Linked DNA regions of Lepisosteus oculatus. The protein of the gene in region 3 purifies or fractionates together with the protein of the main gene of each other region. This does not show direct contact. Links are inferred from orthologs where the notes say so. Each region holds a gene or a part of one and is shown on either strand. Other genes may lie near its edges.

Region 1 (10,980 bases), on a different chromosome or scaffold from region 3:
AATCCTGGGGTGCTATCTGTGTGGAGTTTGTATGTTCTCCCCATGTTCACATGGGTTTCCTCCCACAGTCCAAAGACATACTGGTAGGTTAACTGGCTACCTGGGAACCCGGTGTGAGTGTGCATGAGGGCACTGTGTTTGTGCCTGTCCTGTATAGTGTCCCCCACAACCCTGAATCGGATGAAGTAGTTAGAAAATGAATGGATGGATTTATATTAAGTCTGTCTACTGAAAACAATGTATTCACATAAGGCTGTAATAAAACTATTAGCAATGTTGTGCTTCAAAGAGGCAACCTACAGGCCTGTGGAAAGTAAGGAAACAGCGCTGATGTCCTTCTATTAGCACTAGGAAAAGGCCAAGGTTCCCCCGAGCCCAGAGCTCATAAAGGTTTTACAAATCAAGAGGCAGAAAGAAAGGATACAGACATGCCTGTCTCATTCTTTTATTGTTGAAAAATCCTAAGAAGCTTCCTTAATGAATGTGGCTTAGCTAGTTTGTCCCAGACACCACATCGGCACAGTGGTGTTAATGTGAACACCAAGCATTTTGCTGTTGTTTTTTTTTGTGTTGAGAGCAGATGTTAAGATGTTAATACAATATTAAAAAAAAATTAAACCTGAAATCCAATCAAAACGTGCAGGATAGAGTCAATTAAAGACCCCTGTTCTCAAGCCACAAGTTGAAAATGGGAGGTTCTCCTTTGATTGTAAAGTTCGGTATTCATCTGCACCACTGCTGACCTTTAAGTGCTAAATTAATGGACACCCAAGCAAGCAGGTGTCCACAGTTATCAAGGATTGCAGCGTCTTCTCTAAGCTTAACCATTCACTTCCCAGCTCACAAGGGCAGTGCTGATTACTGAACTGGGCAACACTTGGAAAAGGACAGTTATCGCTGCATTACAGCTAACCCTATCACTGGATGGCACCATTTTAAGTCCCTCCAACTGACCCATGATCTCAGCTCAATCTACTTTGACTCACTGTCTCATAAAAGGCATGCCTAAGAGTACAATGAGGTTATCTTTGCTTGTGTAAGGCGAATGCAGAAATGTTTTAAACAACCAAGTGTAATGGCTTATAAGGCTAATCATTTTTTAATGTTTCCTGAATGCACCTGTAAAACTAAAGCATAAAACAGTCAGACCAGAACTAGTTCACTGAAAATCAGCTGTCCTTATTCACCAAGATCATTTTAAAATAAAACTAAGAAGGAAAGAGCTGCAACGTTAATAGGAAGCAGTATATTTTACCGATCATATTTCCCAGCCACTTAAGTTGTCCTATTAGAGAAGCTGGACTGGTTCAGCCTTTGGAGTAGCCTTAGAAATCACAGGAAGCTCACAGCACCAACTCTGCCTGTTTGAGCAGTACAGGCTGTAGGTTAAATAGTTTTTTTGTCTCTACTCATTTTTAATTTTTTCAAATCACCACATTTTGGGGAGACAAGAAAACAAACTGGCTGTTGGCATGATTTAATTTGACAGTTACAGGGCTCTACACCTTTTAAATCTCCCCCATGTGCAAATCAACTCCAAAACATGCCTGGCACAAAACTCATTACAGTAGAGCAGGAGAGCAGTGCATTACCCCCCCTCTCTGGGTCTATACATAGAAAGAGCAGGACCAGTCAGGGGAGTGGCCAGCTGGTGTTATCAGTCATGGGGAAGCTTCTAGGGGCTGGTGAATTAACCCCACCGGTTACAAGAGGTGTTATGATGAGGCCGCAGAGACAAAAACTATCAATAGTCACTCTACCCTCCATCCATAACTGTTTTTTTTCCTTCTTCCAGGCCACCAGTCCCTTGGTGCACTGTATCAATTGAAATATAGGTCACCTCTCTGGAACAAACATGCACTGTATTGGCACTGTACTGTGTCACGAGCTAGCCTGAGGAAGCTCTGAGATTACTGCTGAAAATTAAACGCACTCTCCTTCATCATCTAGAGGCGCAGCATCATTACAGAAAGAACCGAGACCTCGCTCTAAAGCGATCCAGAACTATTTATCTCTAAACTGCCCTGCGCAACATCAAAGCAAACCTGGGCAAGTATTATGCAGCTCAGACAGGCCAAGGTCAAATTATATAAGATTTCTAAGGACAGTACTGTGAAATGCAAGTGAGAGCATAATTTTCAAGCATAGATACTGAACCGCATATCACAATTTACAGGAGCTATTTGTAGTGCAATGGTGCTAGAGGTCCATATTGAAGTGCTCCTCTTAAGCCATGCTGTGCAGCTATATTTACACCATGTGAAGTGTCGGATGGCTGGTTAACTTTACACAGTAATGAATATAGATATGAATCGAAATGAATAGATAATTCTGCATGAAGAGTCAAAAGATACAGGCTCGTTGTACCAACACTCAAGTGCTCAAGCACTACACCAAATTCCAAACCACTGCCTTTTAAAAAAAAATAAAGGCAAACAGTGGCATTCTATGACAGTTACAATAGAGAAACACTGTATAAATCACACACTACAGTGGCTCACACTGGCTTGAAGCCTGGAACAAAAAATGCCCCATTTGTGACACCACTATGTCACTGCAAAGCTTTCTGAAACGTTTCTCCAAATGGAGAGGCAATATATGAAACACTAACATCCCTGATCTGATAACGAATCTGTCGCTTTTGTCACAGCATCTCTTCACTGAGAAGATCTCTTTGCATCATGGAGTCTGGAACTGACACCTCCTTCTCTACCCCAAGTCTTCCTCCAGCTTGTCCATTTTTCAGTACAGCAGCAAGACCTCACCAAACAAAAGAAACAAACCCTGGAAGCCCTAAAAACAAAGGATGACCCTGAGCCAGATCTATGGTTTCCGAAGGCCACAAGTGAGACACTAAATTCCACTACTGATTGATTCTGTTCCACAGCGATTACTGAGTAAAGAAGATATGATCGGATTCCCGTCTTGAACTGTAATTGATGTTTTTCCATCAGGCTTTTCCTGTTGGCACAATTCCTATGCCTATGTCACACTAAATACAAGTATGAGCACAACAACAAAACGAGACAGAAGAATCTATTACGTTCTGTCAGAGTGGGACGGTGCCAGTCATTGCCAAGGCATGTATCTATACCATATAAGAGGAATAATGCACAGAAACACATAGTGACTTAATACATCTTCCTGCCATAATATAGCATATCACAGGGAAAGAGCAGAGTGCGTTTCTTCAGGTACTTCGATTCACTCAGTGCTGGGTAGTATGATTGGGCAAGGACTCTGAAGCGCACCTTCGCCACCCACAGTGAGGATCCTGGGTTTGCTTTTCGTACCCGCAATGTAAAAACTACTTAAACGATTTAAGCGCAGGATCGGTGTTCCGTGCTTTTTTGGAGTGACGCTGTATTCCCGGGTTGATTCGTGTGCTGCAGTCAATCTGACGTCCGCCTGGAGCCAGCGGAAATAAGGTCCACTTAAAATCGGTTTCGGTTTTGTTTCAGCTGTCAGGCTTTCGATTTTAGGCTGGTGAGAGCCGACCTCTACAGACTCCCCACCCCCATCTCATCATTCCCGGAGCTGTCCCTCGCCCGCTGCGCTGACCAGCCGGACAACCACGGCGTGCAGCTACTGGGACAGGACGGCGGTGTCCCATTGATACAGTTCCCGAACTAGAAAAAAGTCATAATGTATTGACTGTATGGGAGTTTATAAAGGAAGAGTCTGCAGATCCCAAGTCCCGTTGCCGGAAATTCCTTTCAATGACTCCTCTACAACAAATACTCGACGGATGCCACCAATAAAAACATGCCAATCTACAAACTGGAATATCGCGATTCCAGTTGCTACCGTGTTACCTAAAATGAAGACAGCACATGGAAGAGATCATTCTACTCGGGGACCCGACTTTCCGGGTTCAAACAAAGTGAATTACTTCTCCGCAGAAGGAAGAGGCACCGCTGATACACAAACGACAGCACAACTACAAGCAGGGCGCACAAACAACACTGTTGTCTCACTCGGTCGCTCTGTGCTGTCGCTCTTATTAACTGTCAAGACAGCCGCGCTTGCCAGAGGAGTTTATTTCATGTGTATTTCCAGCTACACGTCTAAAGAAACGTATTTGAGGCCTTCAACACCTCCAGGTAATTTCACTCAGATATTGTGGGAGACGACAGAACGAATTACACAAAGTGACCCATTTCCCCCTTTTTATAACGAAACGAGACCGGCTAGCACTGGAAAATCCAATACTTGCCAAAGACGTATACAACAACCTGACCTAAAACTATCCGATTTATTTAATAACAAATGATTCGTTTTATCAAGACGACTATGTAACGCCACTCAAAACACCTTCGCGGAAATGTCGGGTTTCCTTTGTTGTTTTATTCAAATAATTGTTTACATCTCGGACTGCGTAGACAACGCCGTTGTTTTTATTCTTGTGTAAAAGACGGCCGCTGAAAGCAGATTTCCAACCCCGGCGGCTGACCGGGTCTCGCTGAAGAGACACCGGGACGGATCCCCATGCCCGCGTCCTAGGGTGTAGGCCTCAAGCAGTCCGGCAAAACTTGGCTCAAGAACCACATACGAGCCTTATCTGTTAATGTACGGTCTATCCCCAAGAGCGTCACGGCGCTAGCGACTACCGACTGAAATAAATATCCACGTTGTACCTCGCCAGCTCCTCTTCGTTCATTATTTGCGGCTCTGGATCCATGATCACATCGCAGTCAACAGCGTCCATGTTACTGCCGGGGAAGAGAAGACAGACACTTCCGGGAACCGTAGAAATCACCGAGCGCTAGAGCGGCCTGCGGCAAAGACCCATTTCCTCTCCTTTTTGGGAGGGAGAGAGTCGAGCCCGCACGGCCGCTACACGCCGACGTGAAAAGGCGCAAACAGCGCCTCCAGTGGCGGCGCCAGGCTCCAACATCCCTTCAGATTCAGACTTGATTATCCGCCGGTGGAGCTGTGTTCGGAGTCCAACACAACAATACAGCATAACAGCCGTCACCAACCGACACCAGATCAGGGCAAACATGACTAAAACTCTATGAAAACCATGACGAAAATAAAATGTGAAATTCCGTAGGGTAGGAACGGTTTCCAGGCGACGCTTAAGAACAGTGGTTAGCATTGGTGCCTGGGTTCAGTTCCTGTGGAGTTTGTATGTTCTCCCCTGTTCGTGTAGGTTTCCTCTGGGTGCTCCAGTTTCCCCCCACAGGCCACAGAAGTACTGGCAGACTTGTTGGCTTCTGGGGAAATTGGCCCTGGTGTGAGCGAGTATCTGTGTGTCTCTTGTGATGGACTTGTGTCCCGTCCAGGGTGACCCTGCCTTGTACCTGTTGTGTAGTAATAATAATAATAATAATAATAATAATAATAATAATAATAATTACACTTATATAGCACTTTTCTGGACACTCCACTCAAAGCGCTTTACAGGTAATGGGGATCGCCTCCACCCCCACCAGTGTGCAGCCCCACCTGGATGATGCGACGGCAGCCATAGTGCGCCAGAACGCTCCCCACACACCAGCTCTCAGTGGGGAGGAGAGCAGAGCGATGAAGCCAGTTCAGAGATGGGGATTATTAGGAGGCTATGACTGGTAAGGGCCAATGAGAAGTTTGGCCAGTACGCTGGGGTTACACCCCTACTCTTTTCGAGAAACGCCCTGGGATTTTTAATGACCACAGAAAGTCAGGACCTTGATTTGACATCTCATCTGATGGATGGCAGCTTTTTTCAGTATAGTGTCCCCATCACTATACTGGGGCTTTAGGACCCACACAGACCTCAGGGTGAGCGCCCCCTGCTGGCCCCACTAACACCTCTTCCAGCAGCAGCCTTAGTTTTTCCCAGGAGTCTCCCATCCAGGTACTGACCAGGCTCACACCTGCTGAGCTTCAGTGGGCTGCCAGTTGTGAGTTGCTGGGTGACACGGCTGCTGGTTATTATTATTATTATTATTATTATTATTGAAGCTTATATATAAAAATGATTGGATTTGTTATAACCTGCGCACAATCACAAATTCCGCTAGAAATCGTAACGCCCTCCGGTCGACAGGGGTCGCTCTTGGTTACGATCCCAGGTTGCTCCTGTAACCAGCCCATCGATTCGCAGCCTGTGGGTTGGGTTAGTGCCTACGCAAATTGTAAACAGGAAATCGCCGCGGTTGTCTGCCTCTGCACTTTAACAGTACAGTATTTTCAATTATTTTAATATAGTTTTGCATTTTTGTTCCTTTTTAAAATGTGTTTTTAAACGAGTGTAAGCGCGCTTTTTTCCCCGTCGCGGTGTTTTATAGCTTGGCCGTGGTTATTTTACATCACTTTTTGTGAAATGATGAAATTTTACCCTGAAATGATGTTTCAGTTAAGATGTAATAAATGCAACCTCTTTTAAACTTAATTGCACTGGTTTATGCAGTACTATTTAATCTCTGGGAATATCAAGAGAAATTTGCTGGGGAGCGTTTTGACTCTTACTTTTATGTTGTAAAAGTCAGGAAGATGTAATAAAGAGAACTGCTTGCCTGCAAAACTGTATTTTTCAACGGCGCCTGAAATACATCCATCTGAAATAACGCAGTGTGCAGTTCTGTATTGTAGCTCCTCGTCTAGTTGCTCTTATTAAATGGACGATAGCTGTTCCGTGCATTCGCTGTCAGAAAGCCACTTATTCCTGGTTTAGGAATGGAGAATAAAGTACAGCCACTCCGCTTTACACAGTGGTGCACCGTGTTCCTGGTGTAATGTAAGATTGTGGTGGAAGCCGGCAGTGTTACATCTCTTTTCCGAGACTGGCGGCAGCTTTTCAAAATTCAACAGGTTGGGCCCGTCTCGTTATAGCAGTATCGTCTTGAAAACGAAAAGAAATGTGACCGTTTCTACGTAGATCGAGGCTGGGAGACATGCTGAAGACGGTGCTGAAAGCTAGCGCAGTGCTCGTGTATTTGACATTTACAATAACCGCGTGTAAAAGGTCTTAAATAGAGACAAAAAGATCAATGTTTACCGCTAATGCAGATGGCTAATCTAGAACGAGCAAGTCATACCGATCCGAAAAAAAGGAGAGGATGGGGCTTTGTTGAAATTTTTTTTCTTGTTTTGTTGATATCGTGTAGACGCCAGCGGACTATGGGAAAGAGCTGTAAGGTCGTGGTGTGCGGACTGGCCAGCGTCGGTAAAACCGCTGTGCTGGAACATGTGCTGTACGCCAACCATGTCGTCGGTAAGTAACCGCGACCTGGTCTGTCGGGGATTTTCACAAATTCTGTCTCGGGACCTTGAATCAAGTTTTCAAAACCCCCCAGGGAATTAACAAAGTCAGCGCAGTGGGCTTGTTCAAAATCGAGAGCTCAAACCGGAGGACACAGGTGAAAACTCCGGGGAAGAGCATTTAAAACCAAGAACAGGAGACAATTTTTACACGATGCGTTGTGAGAGTATTAAGACTCGCAGTAGTTTTGTTTAAGCTAATCCTCTGGATCCTTTCTGGAAAACGGAAGAGATCCTTGTGCCTAGTAGTAATGCAGCTAGATGAGCCAAGTGGTCTCCTATGATTAGTAAACATTTTTATATTCTTATATTCTTTATTATCAAACTTCAGGTTCACTGTAATGACTCATTCTATTGTTGCAATTCCCAAATAATTATTTTCTTGAACCTCAAAAACATATTTTCTATATATTTCTGTGCCCTGTTCAAAGAAAAGACATTTCAATGTGATTTTTGTTTTCATTTTCATTGCGATTACCTGTAACTGTAATGATCATATCATCAACTGACTGTAACCAAAATCTCACCACTGGAGTCACATAACTGGCAGAGCAATGCCAGGGGTAGCTCTTGTGACTCTTTGTGATGTCACAGAGAGATGCCTCTCCTCCCCTCCAGACCAGCCCTGCCGTCAGGCATGGTGGCTCTTGTAGAGTGGTCAGCTCGTCCGCCTTTCCTCATCCCTCCCTGTGCACAGTAGAGGAATCTTTGCAGTGAGTGGCGATACACGGAAACAGCTGTAGGTTTCAGACTGGCTGGGTGTAGCTAAAAACCATAATAATAATTGCGACGGCAATGAAAGAACCACTCTGTCTGTCCGTGCAGGCTCCGAGCCCATGGAGACTCTTGAAGATATTTACATCGGGTCCATTGAGACGGACCGCGGGGTCCGGGAGCAGGTGCGCTTCTACGACACCCGCGGGCTGAGGGAGGGCATGGAGTTTCCTCGCCACTACTACACCTTTGCCGATGGCTTTGTGCTGGTGTACAGCATCGACAGCAAGGAGTCCTTCCGACGCGTGGAGGCCCTCAAGAAGGACATTGACAGGCACAGGGACAAGAAGGAGGTATGACCCTCACCTGTCCCTTTGTATGTGATGGATGCAGTAGCTTTGCCCTTGCATAGGGAGCCAGTTGGTATGCTCATGCTTTCAGTTGTATGTCTTCAAGATAAACAGGAAAAAAAAAACCACAAAGCAGAGAACACAGCAGAAACAAAGGTTTATTTAAGGTTTTTAATAGGAAACACTTACAGGCCAAGGGTTTGAGTTTCTGGAACACAAACCTCTGCCTTGTTGGTGAAGACAGTACTCTGGCTTTCTTCAAGTCACAGCTGGATAAGATCCTTGGGTCAGTCAACGATTTAGGCCTCCTCTTAACTGAGAAATTTCTTACGTTCAGAACAGGAGTAAATGAGAAAATAAATAAATAAATAACAATAGCAGGATTATTGAATAATACATATTCTGCTTACTCTTTCTGCTTGTAAGAAGTTCTGATTGAGCCACATGAAATGAAGGGAGATGTTCGGGGCTCTGTGCGCTCTGCTGGGGTGTAGCGTCGGTCAGTGGTGTGTTGTTGAGAGGCACAGCAGTGTACAGGTTCCACTCCCACAGTCCTTATCATGGTGCTTCTCCACAGGTGACTATTGTGGTGCTGGGGAACAAGTGCGACCTGCAGGACCAGAGGAGAGTGGACAGCGAGGCCGCGCAGCAGTGGGCCAAGGCTGAGAAGGTGCGGCTCTGGGAGGTGTCGGTGGCGGACCGGCGCACCTTGATCGAGCCCTTCGTCTACCTGGCCAGCAAGATGACCCAGCCGCAGAGCAAGTCCACTTTCCCGCTGAGTCGCAACAAGAACAAGGGCAGTGGCTCCCTGGACAGCTGAGTGCATGGACCCAGCAGGACCGGACTGAGAGCTTTCGGGAGAGGCCGGGGCGAGCGGGTCAGAACTCTAGAACCACAACACAAGATAAGGAAGGTAATTTCCAGGACACAGGACATTGGAAATGCTAAACTGAGTACAAGCAATTGGCAAAACAAAACTAAATTTTGTGTTTTACCCAATTCCCTCCTGTTTATTTTCTTGGTGAATTAATCTCTTAGTTTGTGAATTGTGAATGGGGTGGTGTGCAAAAGTGTTTATCCCACTGTGGTGTCGGAACAGCAAGGGCTCCAAAGCAACACTTGACAGGATTCTGGCAAATCCTGTATTACCTGTGTTATTTAGAAATCCACACAACCATTTATTTTCTTTATCTGAAAGGAAACTAAAAAGCATTTCCCTTTGCAGATTAAGGACTGAATAATTTAAAACTGACTAGAAAGAGTGAGTTATTTGTTTCCCTTATTGCTAACAATTAAGTTGCTTGTTTTAAGCTTTCTCTAACCACTCTGCTTGTTTCCCAAAGTGCCTGATCCCTTTGTGTCCATCAGGCAACAGTAGTTTGTGGTTAGGCTTCATACGCCAGGCACCATTCCAGATTTCAAACCACTTTTTCCATAGCCATTGGCGCTTGGGGCTTTTTCAGTGTTGCTTCTTTCCTGTTCAGCTCATTGCTGTTAAGAAGCATTTTAAATTATACATTAACGGACCCAAGTGTTGTAAAATGTCCATTTATGTCAAAACAATAAATAGGAAATTGTTACACAGGTTTGTTAAGCAGATTTTGAAGTGTAGATTTATTTTTTTTTATAAGTGTGACGTGTGATTCTGCATCTCATCTTCTGTTTAATCTTCTGTTGGGGTATTTTTTATTTAAAAGCAGAGAAGGGAGTGATGGCTCAATAGCAATGTAGGAATTACATAGGAATTCCTGAAATTCTTTATCCCATTAAAAACGTTTTCCACCGTTTTCTCATTTTACATCTTTTATGTCTTTAGATAAACACTCTTTTTCTTTAATAGATTATTTAAAACCACTTTCTAATTTTGTATATTTTCTTTTTTTTGTCTAAGAAAACTGTTTCTGTCAGCTGCAACTGTTGCTCTCTCTGGACTGAATGTGCTGAACCCTCTTGTAGTGCTGGGAATATGACTTGTCCCCTGGGCTCACTTTACTAAAAAAGGCAATCAGGTATTCACCCAGCGTACTACTTTTCAAAGAGAGAGGGAGAGAGCTTGATCGATGTTTGTGTTTTTCTTTTCTGGGAAAATATACCACAGACTCACGCATTTCCATTCACAAAGATTAATCATACCACATACAACTGCAATTTAACTGCTGCATGACAGTTACAATAAATCAGTGAAATGTTATTTAGATCCCACATATGAGAAGTACAAATTAAATTATTTTTTTCCAGTGCTTTTTGTTGTATGCGCCTGTTTAAGAAGAGCCAGTTGTGGGTTTCTCGGCTCTCAGCTGCAAACTTAGCAAACGCACACAGGGAATCCTGCAGGAGGGTCCTCTGAGAGGGGGTCAAGAAAGCCGACTAATCACATTATCCCTTGGTAGAGCTTGGCTACTGACATGCACTTAGATGTGCTTGGGGAATCCTGTTCACAGTCAGTTGGTGACATGACCTGGGCTTAAATCTGAGACACCTGGATCATAGAGGTCCACCTATACTTGAGCAGTGCCCTCTACTGGTCTACTGGACAAGATTGCTCACTCACTGGAGAGTCTTGGCTTTAATACCACTATCACTTATTTTTTATGAACGGCAGTTCAGTATACATCAGTAAACTTAGAAGAGGTAGACTTGACAAACAGCCAGTTTGATATAGCCATCA
Region 2 (10,222 bases), on a different chromosome or scaffold from region 3:
AACTCCATAGTTGGAACAACATGACGGCCAGAAGACAGAGTCACGATTGATTCGTGTGAAGTACAGTGTCATCGTTCCAGATCCTTCATCCTTTACACCCAGCTGAAGCACAATGTACGCACTGCTGATTTTAAGGCCTCTGTGGGAACTGCTGACTTTCACAAGCTTATTTTTATCTCCTGCGTTGATGTCACATCATATGACAATTGTGGGTGAAGTTTATGTTCAAAGTTTTGTGTCACATCCTCTGCTTTTAGAGAACATCTTTGCCAGATGCTGTATGCTGAGTCTCTTTCTTCTGCAATGTACAGGTGTATTCATTTCTGAAATGCCAAGCACATGTGTTAAGGACTCAATTGATTCTTCATACCATGTGCCCAGTGTTCATTTTTACCTCTAAGGGATAGAACACTGCATGTGCAGCTGCCCCAGAGATGCAGCCAAGCCCAAATCTCTGCTGCACAGTCAGCTCACCTTCTGAAACTTCCCCAAGAATCTTCACCTGCCAAGACACCCATTAAAAGACATTGTGCAGCTTAACCCTCTGTTTTCTAGAGTTAACAATGCAGAATTGCACCGCAGTAGACAAGAGTATTTTTACACAGAACAAATGAAACCATCATCGATGTCTTGCTCATACTGTCAGTGTTCTGTAACAGAAGGAGATGTCCGGAGTGCACATACAGACCCCATGCAGAAGGTAGCCCTGGCCAGGACCTAAGACCTGTGAGGCAGCAGCTCCAACCAGTGCACACAAGGCAAGAATAACTGCTGCATTCAGGAGAAAGTACTGTACTGCCCTACTCTAATGATCAGCACCATGATAAAGCATTCATATTTAAATGCAAACTTTCTTAAAATCATTCCCAAGTCTGTTACGATGCAGTGCTGTGACATTTTGTCTTGTGCAATACAGTGTACAGTAAATGCAATACGTACCCGGTTGTATATCAAACACTGGAGAGTTGACTGGGGGGTGCCTTTCATCACATTCACTGCATTCCCCTGCCACATCGACTTGATACCGCCTGCTCGTATCTCCCTGAGCCCATGTGATACTGCCCCAGAACCATACACCTAAACAAAGGCAAAGTGACCAGCTGGTGATCTGCTCCTTCACATTTCAAACGGTCCTGAAAAAGCTATTGATAAACAACACTTCTCATGCAAACAATCTCCCAGATGGGCTAAAGAGGAGTCCAAAGGCACTGGCCTGTCAACTAATTCAGTACACCCCACGCAACAAGAAAAACACACGGTGCGTCACTGCAGCTCAATGCAGCGCATCTGTGTGCGTGCACTGAAAGGCATCGCACTCAATTACCTGAAGCTGAATTTTTATTCGATCGATTGGCGCAGTGACGGTCCTGGACACCGCGTCTGCTATTCCTCCAGCTAAAATGTACTTCTTCCAGGCTCCAGAGTCTGTCTCCTCCCGTGTGAAGTCCATGGGCAGAGGCCGGCTTTCTCCCACGTCGAACACCTGTTGACACGGCACGAGATTTTACATACGTCAGCCATCGCAGTCCATCTCTATCCTGGAGACTCGGGATCTCTGGCCTGTGGGAGGGGAACAACTGTGGCAGCAGGAGGCACAAAGGGACAGCAGGGTGGGACATGACACAAGAAGACTACTGGACTGCATTCAGAATGCTTATGAAGTTATTTTTGCCTGTGGAGACAAATTGATGAGGAAAAATGGACGAGGTGAACCAATCACATTTGGTGAAGATACAGTGTATACTGAACTAAAAACACATTCCAGTGACAGTACACATGAGATACTAACAAGAGCAGCAGTCCCACAGAGGATGGGTCCTAGGATATAGAGTTCTCTGCATGTCTGTTGTCATACCTCTGGTGAATACCTTCTTTGTTCATGGCAGGATAGAAGCTCGTCCATGGCTGTGTTTGTATGTACTGTATGCCAAACTGAATTGCTCCACAGTGCAGTTTTCACAGTCCACTTGCATATACACTATATACTGTATGTACAGTATAATTAGGCAAAGTAAGACTACACTGACTTCCTTTGCGATTAGGAACAAGGTGCTTCACAATGTAGCCCTTACCATGCTGCGCTTCCAAGAAGAAACAAGCTCTGCAATGTCCTCAGCGGGGTTTAAAATGATGTGCTGCAGAAATTCATTCCAGTCCACTGTCATGGAGTTGTCACAGTCCATCCTATGAGAAACCATGAGAAACCATGAAGGAAATCTCCTCAAGTGTTGCTACTACATGACTACAGGTTGTTGTTTATTAAAAGCGTTTATTCTGTGGCACTATGCACATAAAATATATTGTTTTATTCTGCTATGGCAACTACTGTAACTGTACGTTTAAACTTTATTTATTATATAAACTATATTATATGTCATTAAGGTGTTCGGTTATGTGCTGTAATTGCTGTATTATGTTTACATTTCCATAGACATTGATTATGGCATTACAATAGCATTACAATATTACATAAGCTTTATGAAACATATTTTTCCCCAGGTTTTATGTGCATACAGGAGAATTTTTGTAACACAAAAGACGCCTTTAGCACCAAACATGTGTTCTATGCTTCGTAACTGATGGATCAAAGGCAATAAATCTTTTATAGCAGTCAAATATTAAAAAGTGGCAACAGATCTTACATTTGTATTATTTTCTTTGCATGTTGCTTTGAAATGACCACTCCTAACTCCTTAAACAAATCTATGATATCTTCCTGGTCAATGACCCCTAGTCACAGAGAAGAAATGAATATGAATACAAAACAGTTGAGCAAAAATCTCAAGACAGAAATCTTCCTTTTGCTGTTTGCCCTTGGAACGAACTGTGTCCTTTGGAAAGGGTCTTTTTTTTTTCTAGGACGAAGGGGTAATAAATACCAGATCCCACTGCAGCAGGAAATAACACAACTGTATTGACGGATGGCGAGATACATGATGATTGATATTTAATTAAGTAGCTTGCTGGGATATGCCCTGGCTCTCCAGGAACCCAGAATTGGATGAAGTGGTTAGAAAATGGACAGATGGACGTTTAAAGAGATCTGGACTGCAGTTGTGCCCCTCTGGTTTTGACTAAAGCACCAACAATTTTAACTCCAACCCCCCGCCGGCAAATTACACTTTCTTCACTTTTGCACAACCTGTACAGAATCGTTCAAACGTCACCAACTCACCGCAGTTGTTTTTGTCAAGGACTTGAAAGTTTATTTTCCATTTCTTCTCCCTGTCCATCATGTAGGTCAGGAACTCCTCGTAATCTAAACGCCCGTCGTTATTCAGGTCATAGTCGCCTAGGATAGCCTGGAATGGCACAATTTAAAAAGCGCAGACACGACATGGGATTAACCTTCACACCTGGCAGGAAAATACCGTGTGTCAAGGTCGGCATTCAGCAATTCATACCTGAGCCTTCTCCTCTGCGGCCGAAACTCCGATTTTCTTCATTTCTTTGCGGAGCTCATCTACGGCGATGAAACCATCGCTATTGGCATCTAGTCGAAGGAACAGGCTGCGGAACTGCTGCGTGCTTCGCAAAGGAAATAACAGTTATCATTAGAGATATGTCTCATCATAACACTCGAGATGCTGAGTAGCAAAAGGCGTGCAAATTAAAAATTAAAATTATTGTTCATCGCGCAGGTGTAGCGTACCCTTTGGGTGACGGATGCTGAGTCATCTTCGGAGAGGCTGAATAGCAATTTTTCGTCTTCAGTGCCGCAGCCAGGTCCAGCTCAGTCAACGCGATCCCTGTGAATACCGAGTGCTCTTGCCCCGATCGGACGGCAGGGGGCACTGTGTGGAGAACTGGGGAAGGTCCCGGGCAGCCTGCTGGTGAGTCTCCCAGGTGAGGGCCGGCTACGGAAGCCTGTTAGCGCCATGGAGGAAACAAATGTTTATTGCGTTCAAACGAGACAACATTGCGTTTAGTAGTAGGTCGCAATTGCAAAACATAATATGTTTTTTTTTTAGAACAGCAGAGCTTATGGATGTGAAGAAACGTTGACCTAGTTTAAAACCCTCTTCTTCAGAAAAGCCTTTACTGAACTGGTTCCATTCTTCACCCCTCTGCTTTTCCTAGTACCACCATCCACGGTCTCCTCTCTATATTGTAACTGTGTTGTATCTTGTGTATTCTTCTTATTTATTGTTGTTGTCATCCTGTAAAGCGCTTTGAGAAGCCACCTTAAAAGGCGCTTTATAAAATAAAGTTTACTATTATTATTATTGTTATTATTATTATTATTATTATTAAGATAAAGTTAGGATATGATGTTAGGACGCAACACATAAAATCTATATATCACTCACCCACAAATGTAGAATTTGCGTTTTTTTTTTAAATGTTGGGATGCATGTACCGTAGTAACTGTAAAACTTCATCCATGATTGTTTTTTTAATGAAGTGAAAAATAAAACAAAACTCGCTGTTTCCCGAATGAAACCACACATCCAGGGCCGATGTCAGTGGAGGAGATGAAATGGTCAATCGTGCTGGCCGTGCTGCTGAGTGATGATGTTGAGCCTAGGTTGCTGCTCACGAGAGGAACAGTTACCAGGAATTAAAATACAGATGTCAAGATGGGATCATGACTACCTTTGACACCGTCAGAGAAGCTTAGAGTGCACATTTTCACAGCGTTGAAGAATCTGTTGTGGGCTTGAGTTACCTGTTAGGGGTGCTGTCATTTTAACATATGGATGGGAAAGGTGAGCCCACCAGATACAGGGTTTACACATCCACCTCATGACTGAGTAGGCACTCTTGAGTAACCTAAAGAATGCGTTAAATGATTTTTCCTTTCAGCAGCTCATTGGCGGATTACACAAAGGGTAGATTGATCTTTTGAGATCGGGGACACCTAAGACTGTACCTGTGCAAATATCTTACTTATATCCTCTGTGACTGGACTGTGCTACTGTAGAAAGGCTCCACCTTTAAATCACCTATAGCTAAAGATCCGTGTCATTGGGATCACCTGGGCATATGATGTGTTAAATTATGTCATCGGGGACCATAATCTGAGTGCCTTTCTCTTAATTGAACAGATCCGTTGTTTATTTCATCAAAAACCTCACATGAGTCTCCGGTGTTTCCAGACGTATGGCGGTCCACCGCTCAGACCCTGGAGCTTTTAAGCATGTCGGAGGCTGGACTGGGACTGGGACCAGTACGTTTTGGACTGCAGGGGGAGACCCACACAAACGAGGGGAGATCCTACAAACCCCCATGTTCACTGAGGGCCTTTGTCAACGTTTCTTTCGGCGTTTCGAGTTCAGGTAAACCCGTCAATCAAAACGATGAAATAATCTAACCTTTGCCTAAAGGAGAGAAAAAAAAAACTTCGGATAGCCTACATCAATTTATTTTTTCTCCCTGCGAACGACTTTTCTAAAAAAGTAAGCTTTATATGGGAAATGACGTGCAATGATCAGCACTTACTACTTTCTAGAAAGAGCCACTGGGTTCCGGCGAGTACCAATAGGGGAGAGAGACGCGGCTATTTAAAGGAGCACGCCGAGAGAGAGAGAGAGACGCACCAGCAAACACAAGGGCATAAGTATCGAAGCAATAAGCTGTACAGACACAAACAGGGCTTGGAGGAGAGTGAATATCCCCGATTTCAAGAGCGGCAGCACCCGGCTAGCATCTGCTGTCCACCACCGCTCTCTGCCTGCCAGCGGCTGCTATAAAGCGGGTTTATATCCTTAGGATATCGCGGGCTCCCGGGCTGCGCGGAAAATGGGGAAGGACTACTACAAGATCTTGGGGATCCAGAGGGGGGCATCGGACGAGGACGTCAAGAAGGCGTACCGCAAACAAGCCCTGAAATGGCACCCCGATAAAAACACGGCCGCGAACGCGGAGGAGAAATTCAAGGAAATCGCGGAGGCGTACGAGGTCCTTAGCGACCCCAAGAAGAGAGAGATCTACGACCAGTTTGGCGAAGAAGGTGAGGTTATATATATATAAATATCTCGTATGTGGAGATGTTGCCAACGCAACTCCCTCCCCGTTTCGGTGTGGTTTGTTGTTACCGGATCGTTTTAATTGCATTTCAGGATTAGAAATACTTTCGGAGTTTTTTTGGGGGGGTTTTGTTTCTCCTTTTACATCCAAGCCTGTCCGTTTCCCTTGATTTGAGCCGCACAAGATAAAACGCCGCAGAGCGGAAACATTGATTAAACCGCACTTCGCCAACAGCAGGAGGAAAACCGGCTTTTTTTTCAATTTAATGTGGTTTTGCCGTTTTTCAAGGGGGGAGGCACAACACGGCAATAAAATATCCTGTCAGGAGAACGTCGTAGAATGATCCCGAAGGATCAGAGCGTGTATCCCACCCTGTTTAGCAACAGTAAAAGGACACAACTGGCCGGGGTCCCTGGAATGGGACCCACAGGCTGTTTATTTCGGGGGTGTTATGTTGGAGCTTGCTGGCTGGTGCTGCTGCTGGTGGCCGAGCGGAAAGCTGTAGCGGTTTGCGTAGCTGGATCATACATCTCGCCGCCGCTCTCTCGGATCTGGGGGAAACGCGTCTCGTCTTCTCTGGGAAAGAGGGTAGTTTCCCCCCCTTGTACTGGCGAAGACCATCAATCAGAATAAAGTCCGAGATAGGAGGACAGTAGCTCCCAGATCTCCATCGTCACCCCCCAAAGACTGTTCCCCGCGTACTGGTGTTCCTCTTGTGTCCAGTAATATACAGTATACCCGACTTGCCTTCTTATCGTAGAAGTACTTGAGCGTCTTTACCTCCCAGGGTCAGAAGTGTGTTCTGGGAGTAAAGTAAGTCTTCAGCCACTCCCGGCAGGTGATGAAAGAATTGGTGGCTCACTGCAGCGAGGTTTAATGTTTCTTTATTTTAATGTTTCTTTTGTAGCGTATTGCAGGTTCTTTCTCAGAACTAAAGAACAGTGGAGACGCGATTAACCAAGCACTGGCTTTATTTTACAACCACACCAAAACCAAACACAGGATCTACACAAACATGAGGAGTCTGACGAACACGTACACACATTTAGGGTGGTAATTACCTAACAACACACTCTACTTTTACAGGACTACACAGGGCACTAGAATTACTAGGACATTATTTACACAGGCAGGGTCAGCCGCTGGTCATCGTGCTGACCCTCAGACTCTTCCCGGCTACCACTCCCAGCATGCCCAGCGGTACTACGAGCGCCTAGGGGCGCTTCCTCCTCACCACCAGGCGAGGGCGTTACACTGCCCCCACCTGAAGCGTCTGGCGTCTCGCCGACGTCGAACACCCCCCTCAGGCTGTACTCGTATTCGGCCAACTGCTGCGGAACCCTGCGTGAGCGGCCGCTGCGCCGCGGTGACGGCTGGCGATCCACGGACGCCCCACTATCGGCCGGCTCCGGCCCCGGCTGCTCCTCTGGAGCCTCCCCACACGGCTCCTCCTCCCGGGCCCGGTAGGGGGCCAGGCGGTCTCGGTGCAGGACCACCACTCTCCCCCGTGTTCGCAACCGGACACGGTAGCAGACCTCGCCCACCACCCCGAGTACCTCAGCGGGCCCCTCCCACGACGGCGCCAGCTTAGGACTGAGGCCTTTGCGGCGCCGCGGGTTGTACACCCAAACCGAGTCCCCGGGCTGGAAGGCAGGCCCCCTGCAGCGCAGGTCGTAGTACCGCTTCTGCCGGACCCCCGCCTGTGTCAGGTGGGTCCGTGCAAAGCTGTGCACCCGCTGCATCCGCTGCCGCAGGTCCCACTCGTAGTCCGGTCCAGCCGGCGGTGCCGACCCGTCTCCGGGCGGCAGGCCGAAGACCAGGTCCACCGGTGTTCGCATTTCCCGGCCCAGCATGAGCGAGGCCGGGGTGCACCCGGTGGATTCCTGGACCGCGGTCCGATACGCCCAGAGCGCAAGGGGGAGGTGGCGGTCCCAGTCCCGTTGGTGCCGGGACACCAGGGTGGCCAGCTGGGTGGCGAGCGTCCGATTAAACCGCTCTACCAACCCGTCGCTCTGGGGATGCAGCGGGGTGGTCCGCGTCTTAGTAATCCCCAGGCGCTGGCACACTCTGGCGAAGACCTGGGACTCGAAGTTACGCCCCTGGTCACTGTGTAACTCCTCCGGCACCCCCAGCCTGGCAAACATCCCCTCCAGCAGTGCATCGGCCACCGTGGGGGCACTCTGGTCCGGGAGGGCGTAGGCCTCCGGCCACTTCGTAAAGTAATCCATAGCCACCAAGACGTAGCGGTTCCCGGCCTCGGTGCGCGGAAACGGGCCCAAAACGTCCACTCCCACCCGCTCCATAGGAGCCCCCACCTGGTGTTGTTGGAGGGGGGCCCGAGAGCGCTCGGGGGGACCCTTCTGCGCCACGCACACCGCACACGTTCGGCAGTACCGATCCACGTCCCGGTGGCAAAGACCCCAATAAAAATGGCCTCGGAGACGCTGCAGGGTTTTTTTACCGCCGAAGTGCCCCACACCCGGTTGGCCGTGCACCGCTCGGAGCACCGCCCCGCGGAGCGACCGAGGCACCACCAGCTGCCACCGTACCTCGCCACTGGAGGGTACCCGCCACCCCCGGCGCAGCACCCCGTCCTTTACCTCCAAGGCCTCCCACAGGGCGCAGAGGGCCTTGACGGACTTCGGGTGCGGGGCGAGCTCCTCTCGTGTAGGCCGCACTCCTGCTGCCCTCCAGCGGAGCACCGGGCCCACGTCAGGATCAGCTGCCTGACGCTGCGCCAGGTCTGGCAGGCCCACCCCCAGCGGCCCCTCCCGGGCCGTGGCCGCGGCGCTCACCCCCGCCACGGTGCGGACAGCCTCCTCACGCTGCTCCCGCCGGGCGCAGTGATGGCAGTCCGCGGCCTCGCAGGGGCGCCGCGAGAGAGCGTCGGCATTGAGATGGCGAGACCCCGCACGGTGCACGACAGTGAAGTCGTACTCCTGCAGGATCTCTATCCATCGCGCCATCTGTCCCTCTGGCTCCTTAAAGTGGAGCAGCCAGGTGAGGGACGCATGGTCGGTCCTCAGCCGGAACCGGGTCCCGAACAGGTACGGCCTGAAGTGGTGGACCGCCGCCATCACCGCCAGCAGCTCGCGACGGGTCACGCAGTAGTTCCGCTCAGGCCTAGTCAGAGCCCGGCTATAGTAAGCCACTACGCGCTCCCCATCCGGCCCCTCCTGCGCCAACACCGCCCCCACCCCCGAGTCACTCGCGTCGGTGTCGAGAATATACGGCAACCGCGGGTCGGGGTAGGCCAGCACGGGGGCCCCCACCAGAGCTTCGCGCAACCGGCCAAAGGCAGTCTCACAGCCCGAGTCCCAGTCAAAACGGCGGCCCTTGTCGGTGAGGCGGTGCAGCGGGGCGGCGATGCTGGCAAAGTCCCGGACGAACCTCCGATAGTACGAGGCCAACCCCAGAAAGCTGCGGAGCTCCGCGACGGTGCGTGGAGTCGGCCAGCCCCTCACTGCGGCGACCTTACCTGGGTCCGTAGCCACCCCTCGCGGTCCAACAACATGTCCCAGGAAGGTCACCTCCCGCCGCAGGAGCTCGCACTTGCGGGGGTTGAGCCTCAGGCCAGCACGGCGGATGCAGGCCAGCACCGCCTGGAGGTTCGTCAAGGCCTGGTCAAAACTCCGTGCATGAACCAGCAGATCGTCCAGATATAACACGCACTGGTTCCGCGGGACCGATGCCAGCACCCTCTCCATCAGCCTCTCGAACGTCGCCGGGGCATTGCACAGGCCAAAAGGCATGACAGTAAACTGCCAGAGGCCCTGGCCGATGGAAAAGGCCGTCTTCGGGCGAGCATCGGGAGCAAGCGGTACCTGCCAGTAGCCGCAGCGGAGGTCCAGGGAGCTGAACCAGGTCGACCCGGTGATGTAGTCCAGGGCGTCATCTATCCTCGGCAGGGGGTAGGAATCTTTCCGGGTGACCTCATTCAGCTTGCGGTAGTTGACGCAGAACCTCCACGAGCCGTCTTTTTTTTTAACCAGTACGGCTGGCGCCGACCACGGGCTCGCGGAGGGCTCAATCACCCCCGCTGCGGCCATCTCCCGGATCTTTTCCTCGGCGGCGGTCCGCTTGGCGTGGACCATGCGTCCTGGTGGGATGCGGATGGGCCGAGCGTCGCCGGTGTTGATCTCGTGTTGGACCAGGGCAGTGCGGGTGCAGTCCTCATCCCTCGCCGCAAAGAGGTCTTCGTTCTGGGCGAGTAGCTGCTGGAGCCGCTGCCGCTGGTCCTGATCGAGGCCCT
Region 3 (10,567 bases):
ACAGACAGACAGAAAGAGAAACGCTTAGAAGCTCCACGTCACACTTCTGTTCATGGGTTAGAGCACCACACTAACGCCACAATTAAAAAACGCAGTCTTTCGGAACGGACTGGAGATTTATGGAACTCTTAACGCTGAGGAACAATTTGCTTGTATTCATGTCTGTCGAAATAAAGTTGGAATAAAAAAAAAAACAGCCTCTTTCCAGAGCCAGATGTTTCCCCTGAATCTTGTAACAGCAACAAAGACGTCATCATCATGTTACCATCCCCAGCCACAAACCAGTTAGTTCCGTCATGTCCTCCTGCAGCCTGATCCATCTCTTTGCGATATGAAGATGAGGGGAGAGAGGACTGCGAACCAAACGAGAGAGACAGACCACCGCAAGTGGCCGCGGTCAGTACTCCCATTCGTCCGTCTTCATGTCCAGGTAGCCGAGGATGTTCTGGGCGAACTTCACGGCCTGCTTGCGGGCGACCTTCGACATCTCGTCCCCCTGCGGGTCCACCGCGTCCAGGGCCAGCAGCTGCTTGGTCAGCATCTCCTCCAGCACCATGTAGCTCTTGTCGGCTCGCTTGCCGTCGAAGCTGAGCACCTGCCCCTGCAGCTCGGAGAGGCTGGCCAGCACCTGCCACACGGCGCGTTGCGAGGGGTGCTCCTCGGCGGTGGGCAGCCGCCTCACCAGCGCCTCCCGCAGGTCGATGTAGGTGATGACGGCCTGCACCTCCAGCACAGCGCGGCGGCGCGCCTCGCGGATGCAGGGGTTGCGCGCCGTGCTGACCTCGTCCAGTTGCGTCAGGAACCCCTGCAGCTCCGCCTTGGGTTTGAAGCCGAGCTCCCCGGGGCTGTCCTGGCTGATCAGCTGCCGGCGCAGCTGAGCCACGCGGCCGCGCAGCACCTCGATCTGCTGGATCGAGTCGTTCTGGGCCAGGTCGTACCTGCAAGAGCGCCAGCAGCGGGAGAGCCAACCGGAGAGCTTAAATTCAACGCTTAACTGTTTGCTTGGGGTAAAAAGATTAGATTCTTGCTATCGTCATTATCATCAATTTTTATTCTTATCATTACCATTGTGTCAGCATGCGTAGGCTGCAAAGAAACAAGTAATGGGTTTATTCCATGCTGAAAAAAAGAAAACACAACGTTTCGGAGCCTTCTTCAGCTGCAATACGAAACGTTGTGTTTTCTTTCTTCTCTGTTCATCATTATCATTAATACTATTATCGCACACAAGTGCAGAAAAGAGGAACTTGGCTAGTAGAGAATTATTCTTGCAAGCATGGATAAGAAAACAGTTCCCGGTATTGCAATTCTGAAGGTATTTCCTTCATGCACAGGTCTGAAATGAGAAAGTGAATTCAGAAGGAGATCTGGATCTCTGCACTGATCTGGCTTTTGTGTCGTTTTGGCTCATACCTGCACGTGTCGTCCCCTTCTCCCTCCAGGTCCAGGTGCTTCAGGAGCCCGTGGATCTCCTCCACCACCTGCTTGCGGTAGTTCCTCACGGCGGCGTTCCCCGACACGTCCAGGGCGTCCAGCTCCACCAGGAGCTCGGTGAGCACGCGGGCGAGGTGCGCGCAGCTGTCCCCGTCGCCCAGGCCCATCAGCAGGGCGATGAGCTCGCTGCGCGCCTGGCTCACCCTGGCCATCACCATGTTGATCCTCTGCACGGCCGCGTGGGTGTCCTCGGACAGCGGCAGGGGCAGGGTCTGCCGGCGGGTGCGCCCCTCGATCACGTCCTGCACGGCGCACACGCGGGTCAGCGCCCGGTACCGGGCCTTGCGCAGGGGCACCCTCCCGCCCGTCTTCACCTGGGTCAGCCGCAGGACCAGGTCCTGCAGGCTCTCCACCAGCTCGTCGCTGATCTCCCCGGCGCCCGCCCTCTGGGGCTCCAGCACCCCGGCCTCCACCAGCCGCTGGGCCTCCTGGCTCAGCCCCTCGATGGCCAGGCGGGAGGGGTGGGCCGAGTTCTCCTCCAGGAGCCGGAGCAGCCCCTCCACCTCCTGGGCCGCCCGCTTCCGGGCCTGCTGGACCTCGGCCTTGCCCTCCGTGTCCACCGCGTCCACCTCCAGCAGCTGGCGGGTCAGCTCGCGCTCCAGCCGCCGGTACTCGCGGTCGCTCTGCAGGCCGCTGAAGGAGCCCACCTGCTTGCCCAGGCCCTGCACCTCCCGCTGGACCTCCTGCAGCCGCTGCAGGCCAGGATGCTGGCCGCCCGTCTCCATGCGCTTCCCACCATCAAAGGGCTTTCCAAACAGGCTGCGGAGAAGGGGAGGGGGGGGCAGGGGGGGTCACCACAACAGCGTTCGCGGCAAACTACAACGGGAGCCCCGTGCAGAAGCTGGAGGGGCTTAAAAAAAAAAAAAAAAAACTCTGCGGCAGAGAGCGCAGTTGCCTCCCAGCTCCTGGGTCAGATTCCAGACGGAGGCATCTTCCGTGTGGAGTATTCAGTTCTCCCCCCCCCAACAGTCCAAAGACCCCACAGTCCAGGTGAACTGGCATCTCTAAATCGCCCCTGTACGTGCGTGTGTGCGTGTGTGCGTGTGTGCGTGTGTGTGCGTGTGTGTGCGTGTGTGTGTGTGTGTGTGTTCCAGGGTGTTTCCTGCCCTGCCTGGCCCCCGTGTCTGCCCACCACTGCCCTCCAGGGCTATAGAAAATAGCTGATGGGTGGGATGATGCAGTAAAGACAGAGAGGCTAAAGAGGGGGCAACTAACTTCCCGGGAGTACGTTAATTTGAGCATTTATCTATTTTTTAACAGATTACAAGCAACCTACTACTTCAGAGGCCTGCATCACCCTGTTTTTCACAAGGGTGGGCAACATCTGTCTAGGTGAGTAAACCATCATACTGCCTCACGGGGAAGAGCGATATCGAAATATCATCTAAAGATTTTGTTTGGTAGGAAATACGGCGATTGATTAAAAACAAAACCATCCTGTTTTGAACAAAGGGAAAGCGCTCTAACCTTGAGAAGACATGTCTGTTTAGTTCCCATTAGAGATAACATACAGCCAGAGCGATACACACCTTTGTACCTCTGTGGATACGGGGATTACATCACAGCTTTTGCGCAAATAACTCTCTGGCTGGGATTTATGGCTCAGTACACAATCCCTCCCCCAAGAGAAGCCGCCACACCTAACATCGAAATAGGATTAAAACAGCCCCACCAAACACTTTCACCATCCCAGCCAAAGGAATGCTCCTCGCCGAACCCCTGAACGCAGATTACAAACCAGCCCACTCTTTGTTTAGCAATCCGATCTCCTGCATTCGACGAGGAACATGTTCACACCCTGGAACCCACTTGCCTCGCTGTTGTTTCTTTCCCCCATTTCGAAGAAAAAAATGGTATTCTGTTCAGCTTAGCTTTTTTTTTTTTACTTTCCCAACCCCAGATACTTCGCTGCCTGGGAACATCAAAGGCAGTCCCGTCGCCCCCGCCATCCGGGAATCTTATAAAAAGAAACCTAAAAACGGAATTACTTACAAACGTGGTGGATATGCTGGCAGATGAAGCAGGCTAATTTGCGTTAGAAATCTTGTGCTAGAGATCTCCCAGCTCCCAGTGGGAAACACTAAGGCTCGGAATAGTCCTCCAGACGCTCCAGAGCATTCCGCTGCTCCGTGACCACAGGCATGCCCATTCCCAGATAAGCAGGTTATGTGGCCGTGTTGACACTGCGAGGGTTCTGGGGACTGAAGAGCACTTTCCTGGCAGGCTCCACTGCAGCTGCCAGTCTGCCGATGATGCGAGTCTTTGATGTCATAAAAGATTTGTTCCTCGTTTTCTGCCGTCTTAAAGGAGACAGCGTCCCCGTCACCTGCCCCATTCACAGTTCACACCGTGTGGGTGTCTGTGTGTGAGCATGTGACCCCACCCACAAGGATCACGTGTCCTGTTTGGCAATGTATTTAATGTATTTATAAACATTCCTTTGAAAGGACGCTTGTTTAACAAGAGAGCAAGGAACTGGCATTGTGGTCATGTTTAAAATGTAAAGAATCTTGGTTTTGCCTATCTGTTCATGTGAGACAGGAATAATTGATCGCCTCATGTCTCACTATTTTTTTTTGCATCCAAGCAGCTATGTTTTGCACACACAGAAACTTACAATACGGATGGATAGTACAAACAAACATTAAAAAATTGTAAATAAATATAATATTACCTAAAAGACATCAACCCAAAAATACTTATTCCACACCTCTCCTGCAGGAATCCACAGTTTCTCCCCCTCCACAATCACCATACTGCATGTCACTTTGTACAACAGAGCTGACACGCGTGAACAGCATCTGACTCCTAGCACCAAAAACCTGTCAGTGGCAGAGAGAGGGAATTCTCTTACTCTCCTCGTGCGGGTCATGTGCCAGCACTGTGATATCGCACCTGGCGTCCTGATGGGATGCATGAACAGCAGGTGATGGAGACGCTCAGAATCACAAAGTAATTCAAACGGCTGTCTCGCCAACCTTTATCGCTGCAACCTGCCCCGCACACCTCAGATAGCGTGGAAAGACAACCAGGAACAGTTACATTTCCACTCGGATGCCTCCCAGTAATATTCCACGAGTGCAAACCTGACAGGAGGAATAGGAGCATGCATGGATAGAGAGAACCCACAAAGTAGCACCAAGGCTTTTTAAATATACGCTCGATGCCATCACAACCTCAATTAAAACTGGCACTTCAATCAAGAATTCAGGGGGAGCGATAGAATAATGCCCGCTAGAAATATTCGCCATTCCTGCGGTACACACGCGTCCCTAATTCAGTCCCAGCGACGGCCTGCTCGCTCACGAATCGATGGCGCTGAATCCCGCTTACCTCCGACCCCTAGTGAACTCTGAAGACATGGAGGATGATGCTTGGTTGGCATTTAATGGTCAAACGTTCACCTCCCCGCAGCTGAGAAGAGGACACAGGGGATGGATTTATCTATCTATCCGTCCATTACCAGAAAACGTGGCTGATGCAACCCGGGATTTGTCCTGGGAGCCCAGGGTGCAATATGGGACTATAGCTTAAACCCCAGTCTAGGCCATCACCAGGTAGACCCACATGGAGGCAGGGCTTGCAGACACCTCGTGACCTCATCAGCCTGTCTTCGGAAGGTGGGAGGAAATGGGTATTGATGAAAACCCAATGTGGACATGGAGAGGGAATGTGCAGACTGGACCTGGAGGGGAGCCCATACTGGAATCAAACCCAAGAGCCCCGAATAACCAGCAGTCACACTACCGTACTGTGTCCACGGATGTGTCCGCGTAACAGTAGGTTAGAAACGATGTTCAGATCACTGAACGCACAAATCCCATGGAGTATGGCCACATGAACACCACTTCTGCTACCACCCATCCGGAGTTTCACAGTCAGTAAGAAAGTCGTAGAACTACTGCACCTTCATTCACAGAGACACTGTAAGGTCTTCACCTCAACCTCCGCAATCGTAATCCGCAACTTCCTCTGAAGTCTATCAATACTGCTTCAGGCACAATATTGCCCAACTGCAGCTTGTTCACACAAGACAAGTGCAGGATTCTGCGTGCAGGCAGCAAAAAACAAAACAAAAACAAAATGGAAAACACTGAGATAGATGAGGCTGCTTGTAAAAGGTTACAACAGGACTGAAAAAGAGGACGTCATGTAAACGTTTTCAATTTTAAACTCGTTAAAGATGATCTTCATTCCTCTTCTCGCTAGTGAAGCTCTGACATTTTTTATCAGACAGACAACAAGATCTAAACTGCTGTCCACCAGTTCAGGACTCGTTCTGAAGACGATCGAGTTTTTTTTTAAAAAGGCACAGCGAGATCATCTGTGAGCACTGCTTAAGAAACGATGTAGCTTCCTAAAGCTTTAACTTCCATTTTCCTCCGCGGAAACGTGCATGCTGCCCAGACAGAAAACACAAAGGTAATTACATTTGGTGGCACTTAATGAGTTATTGCTAATGCGCTCTGAGGAATACTTCATTAAAGTCTTCATATATAAACGAATTTTCTCGTTATTACCTCGGCTCGTCATTGATTGGTTAAGGGCTACCCTGTTACCGCGCACAAACATTAAGACACCCTTAGTTTTCTGTTTTGTAGCGCATCTCTTTCTTACTTTGATAACGCCAGTAGTTCGCTTTTTTTTATCGTAGTGTCATCTGTAAAGGTTACGTCAAAATGGTTGTTGTGACATACTGATTGACAACCGACTGAAACCCTAACGCATGTGCTCTCAAATTCAAACTCAAGGGCATGGCCGATAAATTCACAGCGCTGCCAAAGCACAATTAACGCTCTCTCCAACACCAGAGGCCTCGGAGGGGGCTATCGAGGCCGTCATGCAGGTGAAAATCTTAGTGCCACCAAGCTCATCTCCTACAGCACCATCACCTCTCTGGGCGACAGGTGCACCGAGCGGCACGAAATCAAATCTCTGGCCCTATAGCGAAAGGATGGCTTCAACCTGTGCAGTTTGTAAGAGGCGCCCTGCTCCGCACAACCTGAACCATTTTTTTTTCTTAACGATAAGCGGATGACAGCTGTGAATCTGTCCCGGACGGGTAAGTAGCCACGGTATTGCATATCTACCGTACGGTGCATTCTCACTGCCTAAAAACAATGGCACTGCCCTTACGTTTTCTGTAGCAGAGCTCGGCTCAAATTCAAATAGCAACACCTCGCTGAAGCGAAACGTGTATCACACTGTCAGCACTAGACCTGTTGGAAAACGTCTCCGATGGGCACCCTTGATCGCTTTACAAAATCCGAAATCATCCTTAACTGACACTGCTACATCTTTTTTTTACTGATAACAGCAGGTCCTTTCAAATCCTTTGTCAACAGTAAGAATTTCGAGAAAGGCTGAGAAAGAACTGACTGACAGCGGCGGTAACAACCTCACCCATGAGTAAAAACAAAAAAGGCAATTCCAGCAATTTACGCTTGAGGTATTCCGTACCAAAGAAAGGGGTCAAGGGTAGCGGTGTGCGTCTTACCTGCATAACCAGCGGACAGCCATCAGATCGGTAGGGGAGGAGAGAGAAACGCACAACAATCCTCATCGCACGGCTCCACTGCCGGGAGAAGAGTCGGGCCGGCCGAGTGACGTCACGACAGAGGTCCGCACACGGAACGGTCCAAGTGTAGAAATCCCGAAGTTCCATGGACCCTGATGTGAGACAGTATCACCCTCGCTGTCGCCGCAGTAAATATCTTTGAAAGAGACAATTACTCTCCGCAAATCACCTCGAAAAGAATTGAAAACGTACCCCTCTCTAACCCCATTTACACACCTTCCACTTTTAATCTTGTCGTTTTAAACAACAACTCGCGTCATTGTTTTCGACATATTTGCTTTGTGCTATACAAGTTGTTTTGAATTCATAAAAAAAAATCAACCCACTACTGATAATGCAATATATAGTGTAAACTCCACCAAAACTCTTGAATTTGCACGATAAAACGAAACTCGTGATTGTGGATGGTTACAAGTGCAAGGGGGCGCTGGATTTCCGCGTAAGGATTTTGTTGTCCAGCCTCTTAAGTTCACGGGGTAGTCACGTGGGGCTCAAGTTCGTGGGTTAAGTTGCTTCTGGAAGAGGTCAGCGAGTGGAGAAGAGGTTTGAAGGAATAAGGCAGAGATGAGTATAAAATTGTCAGGAATTCGGACGTGGCGATCGCTCCATCACGGTAAACTGACGTATTCCCGGTATGCAGCAGGTGTTTTGTCGGGACGACTGAGATACAGCAGTGAAAGAGAGCCCGTTAAACAGGAGAAGAGGCCAGGCGAGGTGGGAATGGTGAAGTCCAGTATACGCTGTATATATTTTTATTTTACGACATAACATCGCTTTTTCATATCTTGGAAATTAATAAATGGTTGTGAGCACATTGAATGCATCAGTGTTTAAGATATATCGCTCTGCAGAAGTACTGTAGTTTTAGTCACCCTGAAGTTAAAAACCTCTTTATTACAGTATTGCAGTGTGATTAACATCTCTTACAGACACATTGTTTATTTCAAGAGTCTCCTGAGATGCATCTTCCCTATACAGCAAGCAATGTCTGCAGATTTTAATTGTTCTCTACTCATCCGACCAGACACATTTCCAAGCCACTGGGTATTCCGAAAGATTAAAAAAAGTAGTGTTTTTAGCTTGTGAACTTTTAACTGAAAATGCGTTTAATAATAACTCGTTTCAGCACGGAGCTGCACCTTGTTTATAAGAGTCTCCTGAAGTGGATTCTCCTCCCTGTACTGCACACTCTCCTAACATTTAAATGTTTCTCTCCTGAGATTGTATGTGGCTGCAGGATGCTTTGGCAGTGCAAGGTGTGATTCCCTGCCTTGAATCTCTTGAATATCCACCAGAGCAGTCAGGAAGAGAGGTTTCATGCAGTTGTGAATCATGCTTTTATGCAATGACCTTAAAATAGAATACAGGATAAGAAACAGTACATGCCAGAAGTCCGCTTTAGGTATTGGATTGGCGTGAAAGAAAACCACATTTTCTCTCTCCTGTGATGTCTGCTATATTTAGACCAATTTTAATGAGAGGTTAAAAGGGCAATTTGTCAGTCCACTGTGTCGGGCTTCTGAAATTTGCAGACTGATGGGCCTTGTGTAGTTTGGCCCTCTCTGATTCTCTCTCATAACTACCTTACCTGTATTTGTCTCCACAGAGGTCAGGTTTCACCCCTCCCACCAGCAGCAGATGTGACTGGATTGGTCCTCCGGATGGATTGTCTAACCTCCGGCCAATCAGGTTCCACATCCCTGAGAAGGAAAGCCCCACGGAAGCCAGGCTGAGGCGCCTGAGGCAGGAAACGGAGGACTGGAACCAGCAGTTCTGGGCCAATCAGAATTTGTCTTTCAGCAGGGTCTGTGGTAGCACTGGTCTTTCCTGGCCTGTTTTCGTGTCGTGACTCTTACTTTGGGTGTGGAGAGCGAAAGTCTTTTCCCTCCTGATCGAATGGCCCCTTGTTTTTTAGTGTGTAAAACAATGTTTGTCCAGTAGGTGGCAGGGCAGCCTAGCTTTGTGATGTTCAACCAAAAATTACCAGAAAGCCCTCTTTGATTGTTTTGGGCTGTCTACACATGTGCATTTTAGTGACGCCAGTTAACCAACCAGCCGTGAGTTAGGTAGGTGTTATGAAACCATAGTAAACTCCCCGCAGCAGATACTGGGGATCAAACCCAGGGACCAAGACTCACGAGGCAACAGCAGTCACCCCCATGTTTCTCAGTTCAATTTGGATTTAAACATTATTCGAACATCGCATGCTTCACATCCTCAGACCACAGATCAGCCTGGTCTGCAGTGTCCCAGATAAGTTTTTGATGTGACAGATAATGGCATGTGTGAGGCTACTTAGCAGAACTGAATACAAACTGATGGTTGTTTTGAGTTTGATCAAGTGCTGTGCTGTCCAAACAAGCGCAGATTGCATTTACAATTCTAGAAATTAATATTCATATTAAAATGAATTGCTGTTGCTTCAAGTAAGTCAAGCAAAGCTAACTCAGCTGTTTTTCCCCTTCAGTGTTGCTGTTGACATGGGAAAGCTGGTGTGTTTATTGGTTAATTTTGTCTTTAAACTTATAGTCAGACTTTAGCCACTGGTTGCACAGTTATCAACCCTCCTGGGTGTAAATTTAGGTAAACAAGACTTAGGACTCTGATGACACTAAGGAAAAAAAAAACATTTGCAGATACTGGGTGGATAGATGTGTAGAGTTGAAAGAGAACTATAAATCTTAGCAATTCTTTGTGAGGATAAGGTGTGTGACCTCTGACTTCATGAGAGGAACAATCCCCTTTTGTTTTTGTTACGAAACATTTTGTGTTATCATCATTGTATCCCCTTGTCTTAATGCATTGAAAAATTGCTTTTTATGTGTCACAACTACTTATATCATTATTTGGTTAGGCGGTCGTTGCTAAGGAGTTTCTTGTGCTTTGTTCAGGAGAAAGAACAGTTTGTCTTGTCGACTCTGAAGGCAAAGGGGCTGGGACTGAGGGACGAAGATGGTGAGTGGAGGCTACCCCTCCAATTCTCTCTCTCTTTGCCTGGTTATATAATCTGCTCAACATGTTCTGTTTTCCTCTGATGGTGTGCTATTATGCTAATGTATTGAGGATGAATCATGGTGTGAGTAGAATTGGGTTTATACTCAGTCCTCTAAGCACAGGTCGTGCTTTTGTTCCGTTGTCTTTGTTGGCCAGGCAGGAGAAGAATTCTGAGCGCCGATGAGATGGCAGTCTTCTACAAAGACTTCCTGGACAAGAACCGTCAGAAACACTCCAGCTACAACAGGTAACTACCTTTCTGTTTGTCCGTTGGTTTGCTTGGTGATGGAGAATCGGTTTGGGTTGCTGTAGCTGGAATTATAGTCCTGTCTGTGGTTTGTGGTCGTGGCCATTATGGAAGTGAGCAGTGACAGAAGCAGCACTTGTTACCATGGTGAGGAGGAGGAGCTGATTGACAGTTAGCAAACTGAAACCACTTTCAAGCTGGGAAGGCTGCTGAGATAAAGCCTCGGGCTGCTCCTCCAGTGAAGTCTGCTCAGT

What was found.
Region 1: the proteins of bag5 (region 3) and dnajc7 purify together in Homo sapiens (affinity purification with mass spectrometry; 4 studies listed by BioGRID and IntAct, with this or other methods). This does not show direct contact. The link is inferred for Lepisosteus oculatus from reciprocal best matches to the Homo sapiens genes BAG5 and DNAJC7.
Region 2: the proteins of bag5 (region 3) and dnajb4 purify together in Homo sapiens (affinity purification with mass spectrometry; 4 studies listed by BioGRID and IntAct, with this or other methods). This does not show direct contact. The link is inferred for Lepisosteus oculatus from reciprocal best matches to the Homo sapiens genes BAG5 and DNAJB4.

The regions. Positions count from the first base shown.
Region 1 is NC_090723.1:5,513,586-5,524,565, reverse strand, and holds the start of dnajc7 (dnaJ homolog subfamily C member 7), read right to left. Parts: upstream 4,746-10,980; 5' UTR 4,709-4,745; coding exon 4,638-4,708; intron 1-4,637. Other genes in the region: nkiras2 (NF-kappa-B inhibitor-interacting Ras-like protein 2), read left to right, coding at 7,108-7,201, 8,074-8,315, 8,890-9,132. UniProt on the Homo sapiens protein: Acts as a co-chaperone regulating the molecular chaperones HSP70 and HSP90 in folding of steroid receptors, such as the glucocorticoid receptor and the progesterone receptor.
Region 2 is NC_090704.1:3,704,126-3,714,347, reverse strand, and holds the start of dnajb4 (dnaJ homolog subfamily B member 4), read left to right. Parts: upstream 1-5,483; 5' UTR 5,484-5,742; coding exon 5,743-5,953; intron 5,954-10,222. Other genes in the region: slc25a24l (solute carrier family 25 member 24, like), read right to left, coding at 395-502, 940-1,077, 1,325-1,483, 2,073-2,184, 2,643-2,730, 3,176-3,302, 3,405-3,528, 3,653-3,678. UniProt on the Homo sapiens protein: Probable chaperone. Stimulates ATP hydrolysis and the folding of unfolded proteins mediated by HSPA1A/B (in vitro).
Region 3 is NC_090703.1:6,904,132-6,914,698, forward strand, and holds the start of bag5 (BAG family molecular chaperone regulator 5), read right to left. Parts: upstream 4,448-10,567; 5' UTR 4,412-4,447; coding exon 4,205-4,411; intron 3,829-4,204; exon of another isoform or gene 3,795-3,828; coding exon 3,487-3,794; intron 2,254-3,486; coding exon 1,414-2,253; intron 939-1,413; coding exon 398-938; 3' UTR 1-397. Other genes in the region: coa8 (cytochrome c oxidase assembly factor 8), read left to right, coding at 7,637-7,786, 8,679-8,876, 9,964-10,027, 10,223-10,313. UniProt on the Homo sapiens protein: Co-chaperone for HSP/HSP70 proteins. It functions as a nucleotide-exchange factor promoting the release of ADP from HSP70, thereby activating HSP70-mediated protein refolding.